2 linked regions of the Anolis sagrei genome follow. The protein of the gene in region 1 binds, or shares a complex with, the protein of each later gene. Links are inferred from orthologs where the notes say so. Each region holds a gene or a part of one and is shown in the gene's direction. Other genes may lie near its edges.

The links.
Region 2: the proteins of TNKS (region 1) and USP25 are in contact, whole or in part, in a crystal structure (PDB 5GP7), measured with the Homo sapiens proteins. The link is inferred for Anolis sagrei from reciprocal best matches to the Homo sapiens genes TNKS and USP25. Residues at the interface, in NP_003738.2 of Homo sapiens: Arg836, Ser838, His842, Leu843, Gly846, Tyr847, Leu871, Asn876, Ser879, Tyr880, His882, Asp900, Trp902, Phe904, Glu909, Gln912, Lys913, Gln934, Glu935; in NP_037528.3 of Homo sapiens: Ser1046, Ser1048, Arg1049, Thr1050, Pro1051, Ala1052, Asp1053, Gly1054, Arg1055.

Annotation. Positions count from the first base shown.
Region 1 is NC_090022.1:194,921,658-194,933,571, forward strand, and holds the start of TNKS (poly [ADP-ribose] polymerase tankyrase-1), read left to right. Parts: upstream 1-7,157; 5' UTR 7,158-7,219; coding exon 7,220-7,763; intron 7,764-11,914.
Region 2 is NC_090023.1:61,863,906-61,875,813, forward strand, and holds the start of USP25 (ubiquitin carboxyl-terminal hydrolase 25), read left to right. Parts: upstream 1-7,057; 5' UTR 7,058-7,283; coding exon 7,284-7,331; intron 7,332-11,908. UniProt on the Homo sapiens protein: Deubiquitinating enzyme that hydrolyzes ubiquitin moieties conjugated to substrates and thus, functions in various biological processes including inflammation and immune response.

The DNA of each region.
Region 1 (11,914 bases):
AAATGTATTTTGCAGGAAAAAAATGTATGGTTAGGAATGCAATTCAGTGATAAGAAACAACCTTCAGTTCTTTAAAATGTTTAACAGTTTGAAAGCGACTGAGAGAAAGAATTCAGCAGACAAGGTGAGTATGTCAGTATTTTCAGGTGACAAACTCTGTCCCTAACTTTGCTTACATTTTTTACTGGAAAAAAATGAGGTTTCGGGCATATGACAACCTTCAAGAAGCAGCAAACATGTAACAAAAATCTGATATAAGGAAAAGAGCAAGACTGGCTTCAGGAAAATGAAAAAGTTCACCAACATGGTGGTAAGTCTCAATGAGGTACCCTTTTTAATGGGAAGAATTCATATATCCTGGAAAATAATTAAGTGATTAAAGGCTTGGTTTTTTCACTTTGTATAACTAAATTCTTTATATAATTGAAGGAGGGTTTTGTTTTTAAAAAGAACTGAAAATTATTCATTTTGTATGGGAGATATGTAAACCAGTATATTCTTTTTATGGATAAATCTAACCATACAATTCACCATTCTGGACACAAGGTGGCAGGAAAGATATAACAAATGCATATACAATGACTCCACTGTGAGGTTATTGCATGAATTACAATGGAGTTTTTACTGGAAACAATACAGCATTTACAGCCCTGTGCTTTCAAACAATACCATCAGACTGGCTAGAGGGAAGATATAGAGCAGGGGTCCTCAAACTAAGGCCTAGGGGCCGGATACAGCTCTCCAAGGTCATTTACCTGCCCTTGCTCAGGGTCAACCTAAGTCTGAAACGACCTGAAAGCACACAACAACAATAACAATAATCCTGTCTCATCAGCCAAAAGCAGGCCCACACTTCCCATTGAAATACTAATAAGTTTATAGTTGTTAAAACTGTTCTTCAGTTTAATTATTGTATTGTTTTTAAGTGGGGTTTTTTTTTTTTGCACTACAAGTAAGATATGTGCAATGTGCATAGGAATTCATTCATGATTTTTTTCAAATTATAATCCGGCTCTCCAACAGTTTGAGGGCCTGTGACCTGGCCCTCTGTTTAAAAAGTTTGTAGATCCCTGGTCTAAAGCTTGCTAGGATGATAGTAACAATGACCAATTTTTTGTTTCCTTTTCACTAAATGATTTATTGTATGGAAGCTAATTTTTAAAATTATAACACAACCAATTCCCAAGATATAGGTCCACTTATACCTTCAGTTCATCTCTATGTCTTCCTCTATGTACCAGTGTGTTTGCATTCTGTATGGAAAAATAATACTTAACCACAGCGATTAGTCCTCAGAAAATACTGTGGAGAGAGACACAAAAGAAATACCGTGGCAATCGTTACGGATTGAGAATAATGATGTGCTTACCTAAGTTCCCGGATTCCTTTCCTCCAGTATTCTTCAGAATATGCTACTGCTATAGTGAGAAACACAGGCAAAGTAAGGCATAGACTGGTCATCATGAAATACTGAAACACTTCAATTTTCTGACTAATTTGTTCCAACTACTTTCAGAATATACATGTTTATATATCCTTATCAAACTGATTTACAGTTCTTTTAAAAAGGGAAATTACACGTCAATTTTACAAAGAGGTTATATATGAGTACAAAGTGAAGAAATGGCTTTTAAGCAGCCTAAGTATTTTCCAGGATATGAATTCTTCCCATTTAGAAATGTATCCCTTATATGATGTTTAACTTTTGTTTGATCATATGTGGACTTTTTCCCAGGTTTACCGGAGATGTTACAAGTTAAAGCACTTTAAAGCAGGTGACATGAAAAAGAATAAACGAACTGCATTTTAACAAGATTTTTTAAAAAGTAAACAAAGATATAAACAATTCCATGTGATTTCAGTTGCTGGAATGATTCAAGAAGTGAGAAGTGTGACGGTGTCACAAGGAACATCAGCAATGTGAAGGTAGATCCTGAAATTGTATCCTTTACTGCACTGAAATATATTTTGCCATTTTCCTTGCTGGCTCACTGAGGATATCACTGTGATGGTTCAATAGTTATTTGATGGGTTGCTGTGAGTGTTCCGGGCTGTATGGCTATGTTCCAGAAGTATTCTCTTCTGACGTTTTGTCCACATCTAAGACAGGTATCCTCAGAGGTTGTGAGATCTCTTGAAAACGAGGCAAGTGGGGTTTATATATCTGTGGAATGTCCATGGTGGCGGAAAGAACTATTGTCTATTTGAGGCGAGTGTGAATGTTGCAATTGGCCAGCTTGATTAGCATTGAATACCCTTGCAGCTTCAAAGCCTGACTGCTTCCTGCCTGGGGGAATCCTTTGTTGAGAGGTGTTATTTGATGCTTTAGAATGGGGTATGTGTGGGTTATTGGAATGTATAAATTAGCATTTAAGGAATATTTACTTTTGGAATACTGTATACTAAGATAAGTCTTGTATGGCAAAAATTTGTTAATTGTCGGGCTGTATCAAATAAAATAAAATAACTTTAAAAATTGATGCTTTGGTGACTTTTTGTTGTTGCAGCTTTGGAAGAGCTTGTCCGGTGCAAAATAGGTGACACAGATAATTACATTGATAGTTTGAGAAGATCAAGAAAGCAAAACATAACAAAAACTCAGGTGAGATAAGAAATATTCTCAAAGCTCAAATATTTTATTACTTTTTCTGGAATATTTTTTCCCTCTGACCTTCTCAAATGAATAATATGGTCTATATGTTGATTACGGCAGATTGAAAAGGAATTCTGAAAATTAAACAAATTGTATGTGACACTTTAGGAACTGTCTACAACAGCTTCAAATTCTTATTTACTGTCAGGAAAACACATTGGAGTTAAGTGAGGGGTAAGAAAGCAATTCCTCTTGTAAATCAAACTCTTGATATTCTTTACTGCAGGGAAAGGTTCATAATCTTTTCTCCTTGTTGGTTCACTGAAAATGTCACTGTGATGGTCTGACAGTTATTTGATACTTTGCAGATTTGGAAGGAATTGTTCAATAGAAAAGATCTGCAGGTGATCCATTATTTGAAGATAATTGTATTAAAAGTTTGGCAAGAAAGCAAGACATAACATTACTCTAAGAAGCATTACTTTTTGCATCACTTCTTTAAGGAGAACAAAGTACTAAACAACACAAATCTGTGTTAAATATTTTTATTTAGATTCTTATTAATTTCTTTTCTTTTGAGCAAGTTCAATGTGATTTTTTAGAATTAAAAAATATGTTTCACCTTCCCTTTTGGAATTGGCTAGAAAGTCTTCAACGTTTATTTATTTATTTATTTATTGTATTTATATACCGCCTTTCTCAGCTCAAAGGTGACTCAAGGCAATTTACAGTTGGCAAAATTCGATGCCCCCAACAACATAAAGTTCTTAGTGACTTGGGGTCCTTCCAGACAGGCCCTGTATCCCAGGATCTGATCCCAGGTTTTCTGTTTTAAATTAGATTGTATGAGTCCACATTGCCAGAAAATCTAGGATAACGTTTTAATGTTTTAACATTTTATCTTGCACATTTGGCCTGCCCTTTGTGTTTGATTTTTATTATGTTGTTTTGCACTGTTTATTTTATTTTGTTACTTCATGTATTTTGTTGTGATGTAATTTTTCTGTTATTTTGTGTTTAACTTTGCTGTATTATTTTTGGGCTTGGCCTCGTGTTAGCAGTCCCGAGTCCCCTTTGGGGAGAATGTGGCGAGGTATAAATAAATAAATAAATAAATAAATTATTATTATTGGGATAAACAGAAAACCTGGGATCATATCCTGGAATACAAGATCTGTCTGGAAAGAAAACCACAAAATGTAAGAAAAAGTGCATTATGCTTCTATAGCAGGCTTACACAATTTGGCATTCAAAAAAGCGAGACTTCTTCGTGCTGCAGATAGGTTTTAAGCACCTCGCTCACAGTTTGGTAACAAAGAGTCTCGATTTCCCCACTTCCCATCAACGTGGTAGCAGTCCTTTTATGAGGGAAAGAAGAAGTGTCTCAGTTTTTGCCTCTCTTATTTTCTCTTTGCCAATTATATCACACCAGAAGCGACTTGCAGTTTCTCAAGTCGCCCCTGACACACACACACAAAGTCCAAGGCTTGAAAGAAGAATGAGCAGACAGTGCAGCAATTAATGCTGGGATACAATTTGTATAGAATCCTAGAGTTGGAAAAGACCGTAAGGGTCATCTGGTCTAACCCCCTTCTGCCATGCAGGAAAAGCACAATTAAAGCACCCCCTGGCAGATGGACTGCCAGCCACAAAACTAACAAAGAAGGAGCATCCACCACTTTTCGAGGCAGCATATTTTACTGTTGAACAGCTCTTAGCACCAAGATGTTCTTCCTAATATTTAGGTGGCATCCCCCCCCCCATCATTTGAACTGATGGTTCTGAGTCCTAAGAACAGCAACTCCAGAACAGCAGAAAACGAGCTTCCAACAAACCTCACAATCTCTGAGGATGCCTGCCATAGATGTGGGTGAAACGGCAGGAGAGAATGCTTCTGGAACCTGGCAGTACAACCCGAAAAACTCACAGCAACCCAATAATGATAATAATAATAATAATAATAATAATAATAATAATAATTCTGCCTGATTCTTGCAGCCCAGGAGCAAGCCATCAGAACAAATGCAATTAAGGCCAGGATTGAAAAATCAGCTGATGACCCAAAATGCAGACTGTGCAAAGAAGCTGATAAAACCATGGATCATATCCTCAGCTGTTGCAAGAAAATCACGCAGACAGACTACAAACAAAGACACAACTTCGTGGCCCAAATGATTCACTGGAACTTATGTCAAAAGCACCACCTATCAGCAATAAAGAATTGGTGGGATCATAAGCCTGCAAAGGTAGTGGAAAATGAACACGCAAAAATATTGTGGGACTTTCGAATCAAGACTGACAAAGTTTTGGAACACAATACATCAGACATCATGATTGTGGAAAAGAAAAAAGTTTGGATTATTGATGTCGCAATTCCAGGTGACAGCCGCATTGAGGAAAAACAACAGGAAAAACTCAGCCGTTATCAGGACCTCAAAATCGAACTGCAAAGGCTGTGGCATAAACCAATACAGGTGGTCCCAGTGGTCATTGGCACACTGGGTGCCGTGCCAAAAAATCTCAGCTGGCATTTGGAAACAATAAACATTGACAAAATCACAATCTGTCAACTGCAAAAGGCCGCCGTACTTGGATCTGCACATATCATTCGAAAATACATCACACAGTCCTAGACGCTTGGGAAGTGTTTGACTTGTGATTTTGCGATACGAAATCCGGCATATAGATCTCATTTGCTGTGACATACTGTGCTTTTGTGTCAGTAAAATAATAATAATAATAATAATAATAATAATAATAATAATAGTAATAATAGTAATAATAATAATGCAGTTTCAGGCCCCTTCTACTCAGCCATATAAAATCCAGGTTATCTGCTTTGAACTGGAGCATGTGGCAGTGTAGACTCATACAATCCAGTACAAAGCAGATAATATGATCTGCTTTGAAAATCCGGATTATATGGCAGTGTAGATCCAGCCTTAGACTTTTTCTGGAATGTTTTTCCCTCTGACCTTTTCAAATGAATATGTTGATTAGAGCAGATTGAAAAGGAATTCTGAAAATTAAACAAATTGTACGTGACACTTTAGAAATTGTCTACAATAGCTTCAAAATCATATAACATGGCAGTGTAGATCCAGCCCCAGACTTATATGGTAGGGTAGATGAGGTCTTAAAGTTCTCTAAGTAATTTGCAGATGATGGTGGTGATTTATTTATTTATTTCTCGTGTCAGGGCAACCAGTCAATTGTATTACATTTCTAACAGAACAAAACAAGCAAACATACAAAACACAAAATTTGCAAGCTTGGTAGTTGATTAAATGTCCTTTGACCAGTATCTGGCCACTTGGAGTGCTTCTGGTGTTGCTGCAAGAAGGTCCTCCATGGTGCATGTGGCGGGGCTCAGGTTGCATTGCAGCAGGTGGTCAGTGGTTTGCTCCTCTCCACACTCGCATGTCGTGGATTCCACTCTGTGGCCCCATTTCTTGAGGTTGGCTCTGCATCTTGTGGTGCCAGAGCGCAGTCTGTTCAGCGCCTTCCAAGTCGCCCAGTCCTCTGTGTGCCCAGGGGGGAGTCTCTCAGGTATCAGCTATTGGTTAAGGTTCTGGGTTTGAGCCTGCCACTTTTTAACTCTCGCTTGCTGAGGTGTTCCAGCGAGTGTCTCTGTAGATCTTAGAAAACTATTTCTAGATTTAGGTCGTTGGATGGTGGTGATAATAATAATAATAATGATAGCTGGAGTGGCTCCTCACTTAAATTCCCTTCCAGGTCCCTTGGTTCCTTAGGGCCATTCCACAAAGCTATAGAAAATCCACATTGAACTGGATTAAATGGCAGTGTGCAGGCAGGTAGGGGGGGGGGGCTTGAGGGGCTTCAGCCCCTCCCCCCCCCGAAATTCTCATGGTGGTTCGTGAAAAGGCCTTACTGGTGCATTATTTCAACTGTTATGTTTATTCCTATCAGGATCTGATCACCATACTCAATATATCCCATATGCATGGGGGAATTGGGGCAATGATACAAAAGGTTTGCTAGGCTAGACCCTCTTTCACTCAGAGTCAGCACCCCCCCCCTGAAACTCAGCCCCCCCCCTGAAAAAACCTCACCCCCCCCCCCCCCAATCGAAATCCTGGCTACGGGCCTGGCAGTGTGGATTTAGATAACCCAGTTCAAGCAGATATTGTGGATTTTCTGCCTTGATATTCTGAATTATATGTCTTTGTGGAAGGGCCTAAAGTTCTCTATGTAATTTGCAGATGATGATGGTGGTGGTGATAATAATAACAATGGCAGCTGGAATAGTTCCTTCCTGAAGTTCCCTTCCAGGCCCTTCCTTCCTTAGACCCCTTTCTCACAGTTGTATACAATTAACATTGAACTGGTAGTGCGGGCTCAGATAATGCAGTTCAAGGCAGACATTGTGGATGTTCTCCCTTGATATTCCGGGTGAAATGGCTGTGTGGCAGGGCCCTGAGAAAGGCCAAACGGGAAGCAGTCCTTCTCTGTGGAAGGGCTTCCCTGCCTTGCGTCACCCTCGCGACGTCTGACGTCACCTCCCGCGGGCCGGACCCTGATTGGTCGCGGGGAGCGGAAGCGAGGGCGGGCGCTCCGTCCCCGTTGCCGCAGTGACAGGACCCGAGCGCTCCCAGGAGCTGGGAAATGGCGGCGGCATCGTCGTCGCGTCGCTCTCAGCAGCAGCAGCATCACCACCAGGCGCCGCCGCCGCCGCTCTCTCCGCCAAGGAGCCCCAGCCTTTCCCCTCAGCAGCCGCAGCGGCCTAGCCTTTCCGGGCCTGAGGGCGAGGCTACTGCGAGCGGCGGCCGCGAAGGGCCGGCGGAGAGGCCTTTCTCCCCAGAGAGCGCCGGAGAGGCCTCTGGGCCTCCTGCGCCTCCGGGTTCCGGAGCCAGCAGCGTCGCCACCAGCAGCACAAGCAGCAGCAGCAGCTCGGGCTCCTCCTCGTCGTCGTCTTCGGCGGCCTCCAGCCCGGCCGCCGCGGAGAGCCCCGACCCGCCCGCGCCTCCTCCCCCTCCGCCGCCGCCTCTGCAGCCGCCCCCTCCGCCCGTGGGCAGCGGGGCCTTCCGGGAGCTGCTCGAGGCCTGCCGGAATGGGGACGTGACCCGGGTCCGGCGCCTGGTGGATGCCACCAACGTCAACGCCAAGGACATGGCCGGGAGGAAGTCCACCCCGCTGCACTTCGCGGCAGGTGAGCAGGAGGAAGGCCTCCCGGGTGGGGGGCTCACAGGGGAGCTTCTCCCAGGGGTGTCCAAACAGTTTGCAAAGAGGCCCAATTTGGAGAAGTGAAAATATGTAGGGGGCAGAGCCATTCAGCCTGCCTTCTTTGAAGCATTAACATTAAATGTAAATAAACAATGTTGTGATAGGGTTTCTGTGAGTTTTCTGGGCTATATGGCTATGGCCACATCTACAGCAGACATCCTCAGGGGTTGAGGGGTCTGTTGGTACATGTAAACAAAATCAATCCTCACTACCTCTGAGGATGCTTGCCATAGATGCAGGCGAAACGTCAGGAGAGAATGCCTCTAGACCAGGGGTCCTCAAACTAAGGCCCGGGGGCCGGAGGCGGCCCTCCAAGGTCATTTACCCGGCCCTCGCTCAGGTTCAACCTAAGTCTGAAACTACTTAAAAGCACACAACAACAACATCAATCCTATCTCATCGGCCAAAAACAGGCCCACATTTCCCATTGAAATACTAATTTATATTTATTAACATTGTTCCTCATTTTAATTATTGTATTGTTTTTAAGTGTTTTTTGCACTACAAATAAGATATGTGCAATGTGCATAGGAATTCATTCATGTTTTTTTCAAATTATAATCCGGCCCTCCAACAGTTTGAGGGACTGTGACCTGGGCCTCTTTTTAAAAAGTTTGTGGACGCCTGATCTAGACCATGGCCATATAGCCCGAAAAAAACCCACAACAACCCAAAATCAATATAAATAAAAATGCAATGTTCGTTTGTGGGATTAACATAACTCAAAAACCACTGGACGAATTGACACCAAATTTGGACACAATACACCTATCAGGCCAACGAGTGACCCTCACTCATAAAAACACTGAAAAACACAGCAGAAGATACTTAAAAAGCAAAAAAAAAATAAAAAAATACATTACAACGCATTTGAAAATCATATATATACGCAGACACGCATATATACGCATATACACAAAAATATATACACACAAAACAAATATGCACAGACAGGACCACAGCAATGCGTGGCAGGGGATAGCTAGTTAATAAAAATGATAGACTTTAGATTAAAACATAGTCGTTCCTGTGAGCTGAAAAGGGCTTGCTACCCTAATCGAGGTAAATCCATGTCATAGAGATTGACTAATCACTGCCGACAGCCTGTTTTAATAATAATGATGATGATGATGATGATAATGATAATAATAAATCTTACTCCTGACCTTACGATCGTGTTAAAAAACAAAGTATAGATCACCAATGTTGCAATCACAGGCAACAGCAGGATTGAAGAGAAACAATTGGAAAAGCTGACACGATACGAGGATTTAAGGACCGAACAGCAAAGACTCTGGCATAAGCCAGTCAAGGTGGTCCCAGTGGTGATCGGCACACTGGGTGCAGTGCCTAAAGACCTTGGCCTGCACTTAAACACAGTCAGCACTGATAAAATTATTTGTTTATTTATTTACTGTATTTGTATACTACCTTTCTCAGCCCATAGGCGACTCAAGGCGGTTAACAGGGCAAAATTCATTACAATATCATAAATACAATTAAAAACATAACATATAATAAAAACTAAACAAATCAATAAAATATAAATTCATAGTGTTTCCTTGTTAAAAACATTGTCTGGACTCATTGTCTAGTCGTTCCATCTGTCTGCTGCAAAAGGCCACCCTACTGGGATCTGCACAAATTATTCGTTAATACATCACACAGTTCTAGACATTTGGGAAGTGTCCAACATGTGCTTCAATACAACAGCCAGCATAGTTACCTTGTTTGCTGTTTACTAATCTTGTTGTGCTTCAAATAAGAATAATAAATAGTTATTTATATCGTACATTTCTCCCTAAACAGGACCCAAAGCGGCTTACAACATTTTATCAAAGACTATACAAAACAATATGCACATATAAACCAATAACCTATAAAAACACATTTACAGTAAGAAATTAAAAAACATATTTAAAAATATTTGTCTCATACAGTTATTGCAGGCAACTCAAAAAGACAGATGGTAAACATTAACACCCCTCAATAAAAGTTAGCCTTTTCAAGGGCAGCCCCAAGTAGAGTGCATTACAGTAGTCCAATCTTGAGGTAACTAAGGCATGGACCACCCATGGTCAAGTCGGACTTCTTGAGGCACGGTCATTATTTAGCAGAGAAGGCTAAAGACCTTGTAAAACTATGGCTTCCATGATTCCAAAGCACAATTAACTGCATGAACTCTACGACAACCTTATCGCTCTGAGTCTGAACCCATGTCTTATTTTAAACTATTTTCCTCCCACTCTAATAGGAAAAGTAACTAAAAAAGAGCATCTTCTTTAGTTACTTTTTAATTTTATTTTATTTTATTTACTTCTAAGTGTAAATAACCAGGCCTTCAAATCCTTCCAAAATGCCATGAGGGTAGGTATCTATCTAGTCTCCCTGGGGAGGGCATTCCAGAGTCAGGGAGCCATTACTGAAAAGGCCCTCTCCCTTGTCCCTACTAGCCTCGTTTGTGATGGAGGTGGGATCGAGAGGAGGGCCTCCCCAGCTGATTGAAAGGCCTGAACAGGTTCATGAGGGGGCGGGAATGTGGTCACATAAATAGGCAGGACCTGAGCCATGCAGAGCTTTTCTTCACACAGAACAGAAATAAATCTAAACACGTTTTTAATAATGATAATAAAACGTTATTTGTATTTGACTCTATCTACCTATCTCCCCAGTGGATTCCAGCAGATACAAAGGCAAACATTCAATGCCGTGATAAAACAGTGGATACAAATACAACAAACAACCAACCAAATCCCAAGTCCCAAAATAAACCAACATCTAAAACCAAATTAGAACACACAACCTAGAATTAAATAATAACATGAGCTAACAATTAAATGATATCTGAAATAAACATAAACACAATATGTAAAAACACCAAAATTGATTTACAATATTTAAAATAATGTGGCCAGTGATGTTCACAAGGCTGACAGAGCCAACAGAGCTCGCATGCCACAACAATTTCCAGTCAGGGCCTATTAGCTGAATACTGTCGTCTTATTCTCCTCCTCTCCATATCTGCAAAGATGGGTTTTTAATTGTTTTTTAAAGGAGAGACGGGAGGGGGAGCATTTTTATTTCTTTAGGGAGGAAGTTCCAGAGGTGAGGGCTGATTACGGAGAAGGCCCTCCCTCTCGTTCCCTTCAACTGTAGTTGAGACGAGAGTGGGACCGAGAGTAGGTCCTCCTCCACTGACCACAGTGTCTGAGTTGGTTTGCAGGAGAAGATGTGATTTGTCAAATAGCCTGGGCCTGAACTATCTAGGGCTTTAAAGGTAATGACAAGCACTTTGTATTTAGCCCAGAAACAGACCGACAGCCAGTGGAGCTGCCGCAACATGGGAGTGTACAGAGATTTACAAAAAAATAACTCTGCCTTTCATAGATTTGAATATCACACAAAACGAAGAAAAAGTCTGTCTGGAAAATTAAACATATCTAGGTTCGTTTGAAACATTACATATTTGAAACATTACATATTTTTCACTATTACATTTGACTATCCCTATCTCCGTATATACACCGACCCAGCCACTGCAGTCTGCGGAGGAGGCCCTGCTCTCAGTCACACCTATGTCTCAAGCATCGTTGGTGGGAACGAGAGATAGGGCCTTCTCTGTGATCACCCCCGCCTCTGGAACTCCCTCCCTAAAGAAGTAAAAATGGCCTTTTCCCTTGTCTCCTTAAAAAAAATGCTTAAAACATATTTTTAGCTTATGGAGAGGAGGATTAGAATATTATGTTTTACAGTCTTGACTAGAACATGGCAGCTTACTCTGGCTTGTTGGCAGCAGATACATTATATAACAATTGTTATTTTAACTATTTTAAATTGTTTTTAAACTGATTAGTTTTATTACTTTGTAGGTATATAATAATGCTTTATTTATAGCCCGTCCAATCATCCCAAGGGGACTTGGGGCGGCTTACAACAAAATAAAACACAGTGGCAAACATTCAGTGCCAAGAATAATACATAAAAAAATCAAAAACCAACTTGAATAAATCATACATAATATATTCCACACAATTTGACATATAAATCCTTAAAAACTCTTAAAATTTGACTAAAATT
Region 2 (11,908 bases), on another chromosome or scaffold:
TGAGACTGAACAAAGGTTCTACTTTGCCTCCAAAACCCTGGGAAAAGGGGTGGGTCTAAAGATTCTAACATGATTGGCAAGTTGTTGGCCCTATAACTGCAACCTGAGGGAAGCTACCTTATTGCAAAATCCATGGCTTAAATAGATTCATGCAAACTAGCAGTGCAAGAAAAGGAATTCAAATCTCCTGGCACTGCCGTGCCAGCACACCAACCTTAAATTTGAGATTTAGTCAATGAAATACAGCAACAAAAAAGTCACTAATTGTCAGGTTAGTTCACTTATCATAGTTCATGGCACCCCACACAAGTTAAATAATATCAAGACCAACAAAAGAAACCAACTGATGAACTAAAAAGTCACTAAGCAGGTAAGTTAAATAATTAGTTTTTAGTTTATTAAATACAGTTATATATTACAATTATGCATTTTTGTTATTTAAACTATAAATATTGCAAAATTATGGGATTTTTTAAGTGACACCCCACCCAAGTTATGCTCGGATTTTTGGCAAATTTTGATACACCAAGCTCAAAAGGTTGCCCATCACTGCTCTGGGTAGTTTTATACATAAGATTCATAACAATTTGGTGTGTGACACAAAGTTTGCAAAATGGAAAATAGACCCACCATAAAGCAAAGATGTCACTAATCCCAGCCAAACTATTTTGGACCATCTTGGAGAATTTTGGAATTCCAGATAAGGGGTGCTGAATTTATTTTAACTTATTACATACATAATGAGACAGCTTTGAGTTGGAAGCCAAGTCTAAATATAAAATTTATTGACGTTTCATATAAAACTTGTATGTTTGCACATTATTATTATTATTATTATTATTATTATTATTATTTCAAACACAACAAGTTTGGTACACAGCAAACAACATCACTCTGCTGGCTGTTGTATTGGATTACACGTCGGACACTTCCCAAGTGTCTTGGACTGTGTGATGTATCAGCGAATAATGTGTGCAGATCTGAGTAGGGTAGCCTTTTACAGCTGACAGATGGTAATCTGGGATAAACCTGGGATCAGATCCTGGGATATAGGGCCTGTCTGCAAGGGCCCTGAGTTCACACTCCCATATATCCCAATTCAAAGCAGATAATGTGGGATTATATTCAGATGTGGAAGGGACCATAGTCAAAATCCAAAGTGCTATCAATGAATTACAGTCATTTGAAAATTCAAAAATGCATGCATATTGACACTTCTACTTGCACAACACAGTGTGGTTTGAGATGTAGCTATGAATGTAAACAATAGGAGTGTTTCGTAGGTTGCAGTGAGTTTTCCGGGCTGTATGGCCATGTTCCAGAAGCATTCTCTCCTGACGTTTCGCCTGCATCTATGGCAGGCATCCTCATAGGTTGAGGGGTCTGTTGGAAACTTAGTAAGTGAGGCTTATATATCTGTGGAATGGGTTGCTGTAAGTTTTTTTGGGCTGTATGCTCATGTTCCAGAAGCATTCTGTCCTGACATTTCACTTGCATCTATGGCAAGCATCCTCAGAGGTTGTGAGGCGTTGGAAACTAGGAAAATTGGGTTTATATATCTGTGGAATGTCCAGGGTGGGACACAGGTGGACACCTGCCGTAGATGCAGGTGAAACATCAGAAGAGAATGCTTCTGGAACATGGCCATACAGCCCGAAAAACTTACAGCAACACAGTGATTCCGGCCATGAAAGTTGTGGACAATACATATCTGTGGAATGTCCAGGGTGGAAGAAAGAACTCTTGTCTGCTTGAGGTGAGTGTGAATGTTGCAATTGGCCACCTTGATTAGCATTGAGGGGTTTTGTAGCTTCAAAGCCTGGCTGATTGCTTCCTGGGGGGATCCTTTGTTAGGATGTGTTAGCTGGCCCTGATTGATTCATGTCTGGAATCCCTCTCCTTTTTGTGTGTTGCTCTTTATTTACTGTTCTGATTTTAGAGGGTTTTTTTAATCCCATGGTTTGCCGCTTCTGAGCTCCCCTACAGACACATACTTCTCCATTTACTTATCTCACCCACGGTTTTATCCATCTTATTCTGTGCATTTGGCCCGCCCACTGTGCTTTTATTTTATTTCTTCATAACATTATTTTGCATCTGTTTATTTCATTTTCTGTTATTTTCTGTATTTTATTTTGATGCCATTATTTGCTGTTTGTATTTTATTTTATTTTGTTGTACTATAATTCTGGGCTTGGTGTCATGTTAGCCACCCCGAGTCACCTTTGGGGAGATGGTGTCGGGGTATAAATAAAGATTATTATTATTATTATTATTATTATTATTATTATTAGGCGCCCCTGGTGGCACAGTGGGTCAAACCACTGAACTGCTAAACTTTTTGACCCAAAGGTCGGTTTGAAGGTTCAAATCCAGGGAGCGGCGTGAGTTTCTGCTGTCAGTACCAGCTTCTGCCAACCTAGCAATTCGAAAACATGTAAATGTGAGTAGATCAATAGGTACCACTCTGGCAGGAAGGTAACGGTGCTCCATGCAGTCCTGCTGGCCACATAACCTTGGAGGTGTCTATGGACAATTCAGGGCTTAGAAATGGAGACAGAATCATAGAATCATAGAGTTGGGAGAGACCTCATGGGCTATCCAGTCCAACCCCCTGCTAAGAAGCAGGAAAATTGCATTCAAAGCACACCTGACAGATGGCCATCCAGCCTCTGTTTAAAAGCTTCCAAAGAAGGAGCCTCCACCACACTCCGGGGCAGAGAGTTCCACTGCTGAACAGCTCTCACAGTCAGGAAGTTCTTCCTAATGTTCAGATGGAATCTCCTTTCTTGTAGTTTGAATGAACAACAACCCCCAGAGTTGGACACAACTGGACTTAATGTCATGAGAAAACCTTTACCTTTTTATTATTATTATTATTATTATTATTATTATTATTATTATTATTATTTGAAAGACAAGATGAGTCCACAGCAGACACTCTGCTGGCTGTTGTATTGGACCACAAGTTGGATACTTCCCAAGTGTCTAGGACTGTATTATTATTATTATTGACACAAAAGTATAGTATGTCACAGCAAAGGAGATCTATTTGCTGGATTTCGTATCACAAAATCACAAGTCGAACACTCCCCAAGCGTCTAGGACTGTGTGATGTATTTTCGAATGATGCGCGCAGATCCAAGTAAGTTGGCCTTTTGCAGTTGACAGATCGTGATTTTGTCGATGTTTATTGTTTCCAAATGCCGGCTGAGATCTTTTGGCACGGCACCCAGTGCACCAATGACCACTGGGACCACCTGTACTGGTTTATGCCAGAGCCTTTGCAGTTCGATTTTGAGGTCTTGATAGCAGCTGAGTTTTTCCTGTTGTTTTTCCTCAATGCGACTGTCACCCAGTATGGCAATATCAATAATCCAAACGTTTTTTCTTTTCCACAATAGTGATGTCTGGTGTATTGTGTTCCAAAACTTTGTCAGTCTGGATTCGAAAGTCCCACAGTATTTTTGCATGCTAATTTTCCACGGCCGTTGCGGGTTTGTGATCCCACCAATTCTTTATTGCTGGCAGGTGGTACCAGTGAATCATCTGAGCCACAGAGTTGTGTCTTTTTGTAGTCCGGCTGTGCGATTTTCTTGCAACAGCTGAGGATATGATCCATGGTTTCATTAGCTTCCTTGTACAGTCTGCATTTTGGGTCATCAGCTGATTTTTCAATCCTGGCCTTATTATTATTATTATTATTATTATTAGAAACACAACAAGTTGAGTCCACAGCAGACACTCTGCTGGCTACTTCGGACACTTCCCAAGTGTCTAGGACTGTGTAATGTATCGGTGAATAATGCATGCAGATCCCAGTAAGGTGGCCTTTTGCAGCTGGCAGATGGTAATCTTGTCAGCACCGATTGTGTTTAAGTGCAGGACAAGGTCTTTAGGCACTGCACCCAGTGTGCCGATCACCACTGGGACCACCTTGACTGGCTTGTGCCAGAGTCTTTGCAATTCGAACTTTAAATCCACATATCGTGTCAGCTTTTCCAGTTCTTTCTCTTCAATCCTGCTGACATATGGGATTGCAACATCGACAATCCATATTTTGTTTTTTAACACAATCATGAGGTCAGGAGTATTGTATTGCAAAACTCTGTCTGAATTCAGAAGTCCCAGAGTAGCTTGACATGTGCGTTTTCTATAACTTTTTCTGGCTTGTGATCCCATCAGTTCTTTGTCGCAGGCAGATGGTATTTGTGGCACAAGTTCCAATGAATCATTTGAGTAACAGTGTTACGCCTCTGCTTGTAGTCTGTCTGTGCGTTCTTCTTGCAGCAGCTGAGGACGTGATCTATTGTTTCATCTGCTTCCTTGCAGAGTCTACATTTGGGATCTGTCGTCGACTTTTCAATTCTGGCTTTGATGGCATTGGTTCTAATGACTTGTTCTTGGGCTGCCAGAATCAAAATAATAACAATATTCTGCCATAATAATAATAATCATCAGTATGGAGTTTGGTATAATCAGTATGAAGTACATCGGTATGGAGTTTAGCCTAGACAAATGTGTCACAGTGGCATTAAAGAAAGGGAAAATTACTCACAGCAAGGGCACTGAGATGCCAAATGGACAAAGCATAAAATGTAATCAGCCTGAAGCCTATAAATATCTGGGCATACTACAGTTGGACAATATTAAGCATGGGCATGTGAAAAATGTGGTCAGCAAAGAATATGTCCAAAGAGTCAGAAAGGTTTTGAAGAGCAAATTAAATGGCAGAAATACTATCAAGGCTATCAACACCTGGGCCATCCCCGTCATTAGATACACTGCTGGGATTGTGAACTGGACGTAAGAAGAGCTGGATGATCTGGACAGAATTTTTTTTTAATTACCATCTACTACTTATTATACCCGCGTAGTGATGTCGACAGACTTTACCTGCCCAGAAAATCAGGAGGCTGAGGGCTTCTGCAAGTGAAACAAATGGTAGAAGAAGAGAAACATACATGGCCAAATTATGTGAAGGGCAGTCAAGAACCAACATTGAGCGAAGTCAATAGTAGTAAACTGCTTAAAGTGCAAAAGACAAAGAGTCAATACCGTAAAAACACAATCCAGAGCAGAAGACAAAACTGGCCAAAGAAGGCTCTCCATGGGCAGTTCATGGCAAAAATTGAGAGCCAAATTGACAAAGAAAAAACATGGCTGTGGCTCACAAATGGGACTTTGAAAAAGGAGACGGAGGGCCTGATTCTGGCAGCCCAAGAACAAGCCATTAGAACCAATGCCATCAAAGCCAGAATTGAAAAGTCAACGACAGATCCCAAATGTAGACTCTGCAAGGAAGCAGATGAAACAATAGATCACGTCCTGAGCTGCTGCAAGAAGATTGCGCAGACAGACTACAAGCAGAGGCATAACACCATTGCTCAGATGATTCATTGGAACTTGTGCCACAAATACCATCTGCCTGCAACAAAGAACTGGTGGGATCACAAGCTGGAAAAAGTTACAGAAAATGAAAACGTCAAGCTACTTTGGGACTTCTGGATTCAGACAGAGTTTTGGAGCACAATACTCCTGACCTCACGATCGTGTTAAAAAAACAAAGTATGGATTGTTGATGTTGCAATCAGAGGCGGCCCTAGGTAATTTTCAACGGTAAGCAAATAGTATTTTGCCCCCCCCCCCCACCAATCACTGATATATGTTTTCTGTTTGTCGTGGGAGTTCTGTGGTTCAATATTTGGTTCAATTCCAACATTGGTGGAGTTCAGAATGCTCTTTGATTGTAGGTGAACTATACATCCCAGTAACTATAACTTGCATATGTCAACATCTATTTTCCCCCAAGAGTGCCTCTGGGCAAAATCAACTATACTGCAAATGCTTACTTTGCGTAATGGGTTGAGCAGCCCCTGGTTGCAATCCGAGGTGACAGCATGATTGAAGAGAAACAACAGGAAAAGCTGACACAATATGAGGATTTAAAGATCGAACTGCAAAGACTCTGGCACAAGCAGTCAAGGTGGTCCCAGTGGTGATCGGCACATTGGGTGCAGTGCCTAAAGACCTTGGCCTGCACTTAAACACAATTGGTGCTGACAAAATTACGACCTGCCAGCTGCAAAAGGCCACCTTACTGGGATCTGCATGCATTATTCGCAGATACATCACACAGTCCTAGACACTTGGGAAGTTTTCGACGTGTGATCCAATACAACAGCCAGCAGAGTGTCTGCTGTGAACTCATCTTGTGGTGTTTCTAATAATAATAATAATAATAATAATAATAATAATACAGTCCTTGACACGTGTGATCCAATACAACAGCCAGCAGAGTGTCTGCTCTGGACTTTATTATAACTTTATTTGTACCCTGCTAGCATCTCTCGAAGGACTCGATGCGATTTACATAGGCCAAGGCCTCAAAACACAATACAACAATACAATACCTAAAGCAAATTAAAAACAGTTAAGCAGTATAACAACAAACATAAACAATACATCAAGACACTATAAAACTGGGCCGGGCCAGAGTAATGGGAACAAGATTAAAAGTGCTGATGTGGCAGGAGGTATGTAGGATTATAAAGTAAGTGCAATGTGCGGTGTGCAGCAATCTTAGTTCTACTAAAGTGCTTCCAGGACTTGGTATTGGAGATTCCTAATCTGAGAAGGCACATCGGAACAGCCAAGTCTTCAAGTTCTTTCTGAAGACTGCCAGTGTAGGGGCCTGTCTAAGATCTTTTGGGAGGGCGTTCCAGAGTCGGGGGGGGGGGGGCACCACAGAAAAGGCCCTGTCTCGAGTTATCTTGTGGTGTTTCAAATAATAATAATTATTTAAATACTGGTAGGCAGACAGGTTTTTGTCTTTGTCACTTCTGGAAACCTATGCCAATAGTCGTCGGGAACTGTCTGTAATTGGGGATCCCGGGGAAGAATAAGGAAGGGCTGGCCTCGTCCTGGGAGCGAAAGGGTGTGTTGTGTTCCTGTTTGGGGGCGGAAGACGGGGAGGGAGAGGAGGGGGAGACACCCTTTCATCCAGGCGCCGCCAGGAAAAGGAAACCGAAGCGGAGGAAGAAGGAGGAGGAGGGATTGAGGGAGGGATGGGAGGAGCCCGAGCAAGATGCCAGCACCGGGCAGGTTTGGTTGAGGCGGGCGCTGCCGCCGCCGCCGCCTTCACCCGCCACTAAGCGAGCGCCCTCTGCCTCCTCCTCGTCCTCCTCCTCCCGCCACGGCTGCGCTTGGCTCCCGCAGCAGAGGCCTCGGCCGCCTCCTCGGGCTCCCGCTCTTCCCCCTTTCGCCCAGCGCCGTCTCCAGCCATGACGGTGGAGCAGAACGTGCTGCAGCAGCAGAGCAACGCCCAGAAGGTGAGCGAGCGGAACCCAGGCAGGCGCCGGGTCTGAAAGAGAGAGGGAGGGAGGGAGGGAAGGAGGGAAGAGGGAGGGAGGAAGGTTCAAAGCGGAGAGAGGCCTGGCAGGGAAGAGAGAGGCCTGCCGCTCTGGGGCGCGTCCTCCCGCCTCGGCTTCCTTGTGACCTTTGATTCAGAGGGAGGGAGAGAGACAAAACACACACAACACAAGCGGCGTGTGTGTGCTGGAATCACAGCGCCTTGCATTTGGTCGCCTTTCTCTCAGGGTGCAACTACGCCAAGCGTGGGCCAACTTGGGCCCTCCCTCCAGGTGTTTTGGACTTCAACTCCCACCATTCCGAACAGCCTCAGGCCCCTTCCTTTCCCCCCTCAGCCGCTTAAGCGGCTGAGGGGGGAAAGGAAAGGGCCTGAGGCTGTTTGGAATGGTGGGAGTTGAAGTCCAAAATATCTGGAGGGAGGGCCCAAGTTGGCCCATTAGGAGTGGTGGGAGTTGCAGTCCAAAACACCTGGAGGGAAGGCCCAAGTTGGCCCATTAGGAATGGTGGGAGTTGAAGTCCAAAACACCTGGAGGGAAGGCCCAAGTTTGCCCATTAGGAATGGTGGGAGTTGAAGTCCAAAATACCCAGAGGGAGGGCTCAAGTTTGCCCATTAGGAATAGTGGGAGCTGAAGTCCAAAACATCAGGAGGGAGGACTCAGGTTTGCCCATTAGGAATGGTGGGAGTTGCAGTCCAAAACATCTGGAGGGAGGGCCCAAGTTTGCCCATTAGGAATGGTGGGAGCTGAAGTCCAAAATACCCAGAGGGAGGGCTCAAGTTTGTCAAGTAGGAATGGTGGGAGTTGTAGTCCAAAACACCTGGAAATAATGCAGTGGCACAATAAATATAAACATGCAAACACAATATGCATTATACATTAAAATCAATAAAAACCATAATGTATCAATACATTAAATGAACTCAAAACCATAACACAAAAGACCCAGAACATAATCCATAGCTGCCTATTGCACTTCCTAGCTGCCTATTGCACTGTACTACTCTCCAAATGCTTGATCCTATAGCCAGGACAGGCTGGAGGGAGCTAATCTAATTTCACTGGGGAGGGAGTTCCACAGGACCACCACTGACAAGGCCCTGTCTCTCGCCCTCACCAGCCACACCTGCAAAGGAGTTGGGACCGAGAGCTGGGCTTCCCCAGAAGATCTTAGCATCCGGGTTGGTTCATAGGGTGAGATATGTTCGGATAGGTAAGCTGGGCCAGAACTGTTTAGGGCAGTGGTGCTTAACTTGTGAGTCCCCAGATGTTTTGGCCTTCAATTCCCAGAAATCCTAAATGCTAAAGCCAGCACTTTGAATTGTGGTTGGTTGCAAATTGGCAAATGTCTCAGGGTGTTTTGTGTGTCAAGTCTGTGGAGGCTGCTTCACAGAATATTCTTCTCTATTGTTTTCATTCCTCTCCCCAATTTTTAAACACCTTCATTCCCCCCCCCCCCCCCCCCGGTCCTTGTGTCCTGAGATGCACCTTGCTTCTCCTGGTCATATTAGCTCTACAACCAGTTTTGTGATACTTTGGCAAACTAAATTTAAAGACTGGGTTGCTGTGAGTTTTACAGGCTGTATGGCCATTTCCAGAGCCATTCTCTCCTGGCATTTCACCTGCATCTATGTCAGGCATCCTCAGAGGTTGTGAGGTCTGTTGGAAACTAGGAAAGTGGGGTTTATATATCTGTGGAATATCCAGGGTGAGAGAAAGAACTCTTGCTTGTTTGAGGCAGGTGTTTAAAGAGTTCAGAGCTAGTTTAAAGGGTTGGAAGAAGCCAAAAATTTGTGTTTTGGTTCCGAAACGGAAACATGTTACAGCTTTTCCTCTTATACTCTGAAGTAATAGATGTAGTTGTGAAGTAAAAGTAGCATGGGTTCTCTTTAACGAGAATTTGCCAGGAAATGATCGCCTAAGATGCATTCTTGCTCATTGCCAACTTTATGTATCTAGCTAACCTTGCCCCTTCAAAACTGGAATCCGACTCTTGAATATTTGGGGCCTGTGTTAATCAAATTTAAATGTATGTATATCTTTTTGGGGTGTTGTGTGGCTGGCATCTTAAGATATATATCTTTTTCTTTTGGAGTATGACAGCCTGACACCTGGTGGAAATTTTGTCATGAAGTTAGATCTGTACAGGAAAAAAGTATTTAACTGACTCTGGAACAACCTTGTCAGATGAACTTAGTCTGTGTGCAAGGGCTATTTATGTTGCCAACACCGAGAGCCTTGTGGTATCAAGAGAAAGTAAAGTTGTTACCATTGAATGCTTGTGAAAATCATTCTCAAGTTTGTAAAACATATTTAATGCCCTTTCTTCAAAGAAGACATCACAGTTTATTTTTATCCTTCTTTTATGAAATCTATATGAATAAACTGAAAGTTACTGATATTATCAATTTACCAGTTTGAAAGTGTGGTCTTTGTTCAAAATATAATGTTTTTAGTGTCTCTGTATGGTATAAAGTGAATTATTCTTGTAGACAGAAATTGGTGTGTGGATTAATGTTTCTAGAAGTCTGTCATATGCTCTGGACTTGTTACATGAATACATTGTTGGTGAGTCAGTAATGATCATCTGGAAATGGTATGGAATCTCTACAACTTGTCATTCATTTGAGTCATATCTGTGTGCAGCCACTAAAATTGGGTGCTGGGTGGTTTTTGATTAATCTGAGTTGAATGGGGATGTTCAGGTTCTAGTTACTCTTATAAAGTTACTATTCACTCCTCTGCATCATAATAAAATTAGATTTCCATTTTTTGTAACACCTGTATTTGGATACATATGGTGAATGAAGTTTGGGGGAAGCAGGGTTATAACATTTCTAGTGCTCACTGAGACTCACTTCAAGGAGCCCCCACTCCACCACTGTCAGAAAGTGGACAGGGGAAAGAGAAGAGTGGGGTGGATAGGGGGAAATGCTGCTTTCATGAGGTTCCTTCAAAAAGCAGATGTCCCAGACGCTTTTCCAGCTGTCAGCACACTTTAACAAAGTAACAAGAAGAGAAAATCCTAAGCCCATTGAATCTCGTTCAGTTTTTCTGGGCTGGAGACAGGCAAAATCTATTAAGGCTGCAATCTACAATCACCTTCACGGACTGGTTCTAAAGTGCCTGCCCTGCTTTGCACCACCAATAGCCAAGTAGAAGGTAAACAAAGCGTCTGGGCTGTTGGCTTTTGTGCAAATTGAGTCTTTTAACCTCTTCTCATTCCCCTTCAAGGAAAAAAACTCAGTGGGGTTTGGATATGTGACTAGCACCCTATTTTCAAAAGAGGAAATTGGCAGTTGTGGTATTCAGTATTTGGAGAATTTTCAATTTCCTGATAAGGGAGACTCAACCTATAATTTAAGTAACTGTCCTGTTTGCTCTTCCAGCGTGTGCTTCATGTCCACTCTCCTGTTTCTTTTTCTTGTAGAGCCCATCTAGTATCAACTTCAGCAACAGGGTACATCAACAGGGTAACAACAACAACAGCAACAACAATTTTTTCTTATACCCCACCACCATCTTCCTGAAGGGACTTGGGGTGGCTTACATATGGGACAGAATGTCCAACAGACAAAAACCAAAGCAATCCATTAAAACAAGAACACCTCTAAAATAGGGACATTGTAAAATACAACCAGATAAAACACAATTAAATAAAAAACAGCAGCATTGAAGCTCCATCAGACAATGTTCAACAAAAACCAATGACCAGAATTACTAAAGTGGGCATGACCGGGCTATAAAAGGGTCGGGCATGGGATAGTTCAAAATTGTATTCCCTAGGGCTGGGGAATTGGATGAGGTCCAGAGAACAGAGTACTATCTGGTGACCTATAGACTGGGCATTTGTAATAGGGAGTAGTCTTTCTCAAATGCTTGCTGGAACATCCAAGTTTTCAGATCGCTGTGAAAAGAGGGCAGTGTGGTGACTTGCCTTATCTCCCTGGGGAAGGTGTTTCCTATTCGAGGGGCCACCACTGAGAAGGATCTCTCCCTTGACCCCACCAGCCATGCCTGTGGTGGAAGTGAGAGGAGGGCCTCTTTAGCAGATCTTAAAGCCTGTGCGCTCCCCTAATTGCTTCCAGTTAGAATCATGGCTGCCAACCTTTGCACCAGTTGTAGTTTCTGGGCCATCTTCAAAGTCAGCCCCCATGTGGAGGGTGTTACAATAATCAAAACTGGATGTTAGCAAGGAATGGACCACCATTGCCAAGTCAGGCTGCTCAAGGTACAGTTGCAGCTGGTGCAGAAGCTTTTAACTATGCAAAGCCCTTCCTGGCCACAGCCAACACGTGAGTATCAAGCGTCAGTGCTGAGTACAGGAAGACCCCCCAACTGCGGTCCTGTGTCCTCAGGGGGAGTGTAACTCCGTCGAGCACAGGTTGCCCCCCTGTACCCCAATCGAACTCACAACTGACCAGGAGGACCCCTGTCTTGTCTGGATTTCTGTATTTTGTACCCACATTTCTGCACTGCAGTGATTTTAGATTTCTGTTCATATTTTTCCTGTCATGGTAAAAAAGAAAGTGAGGCTGTTG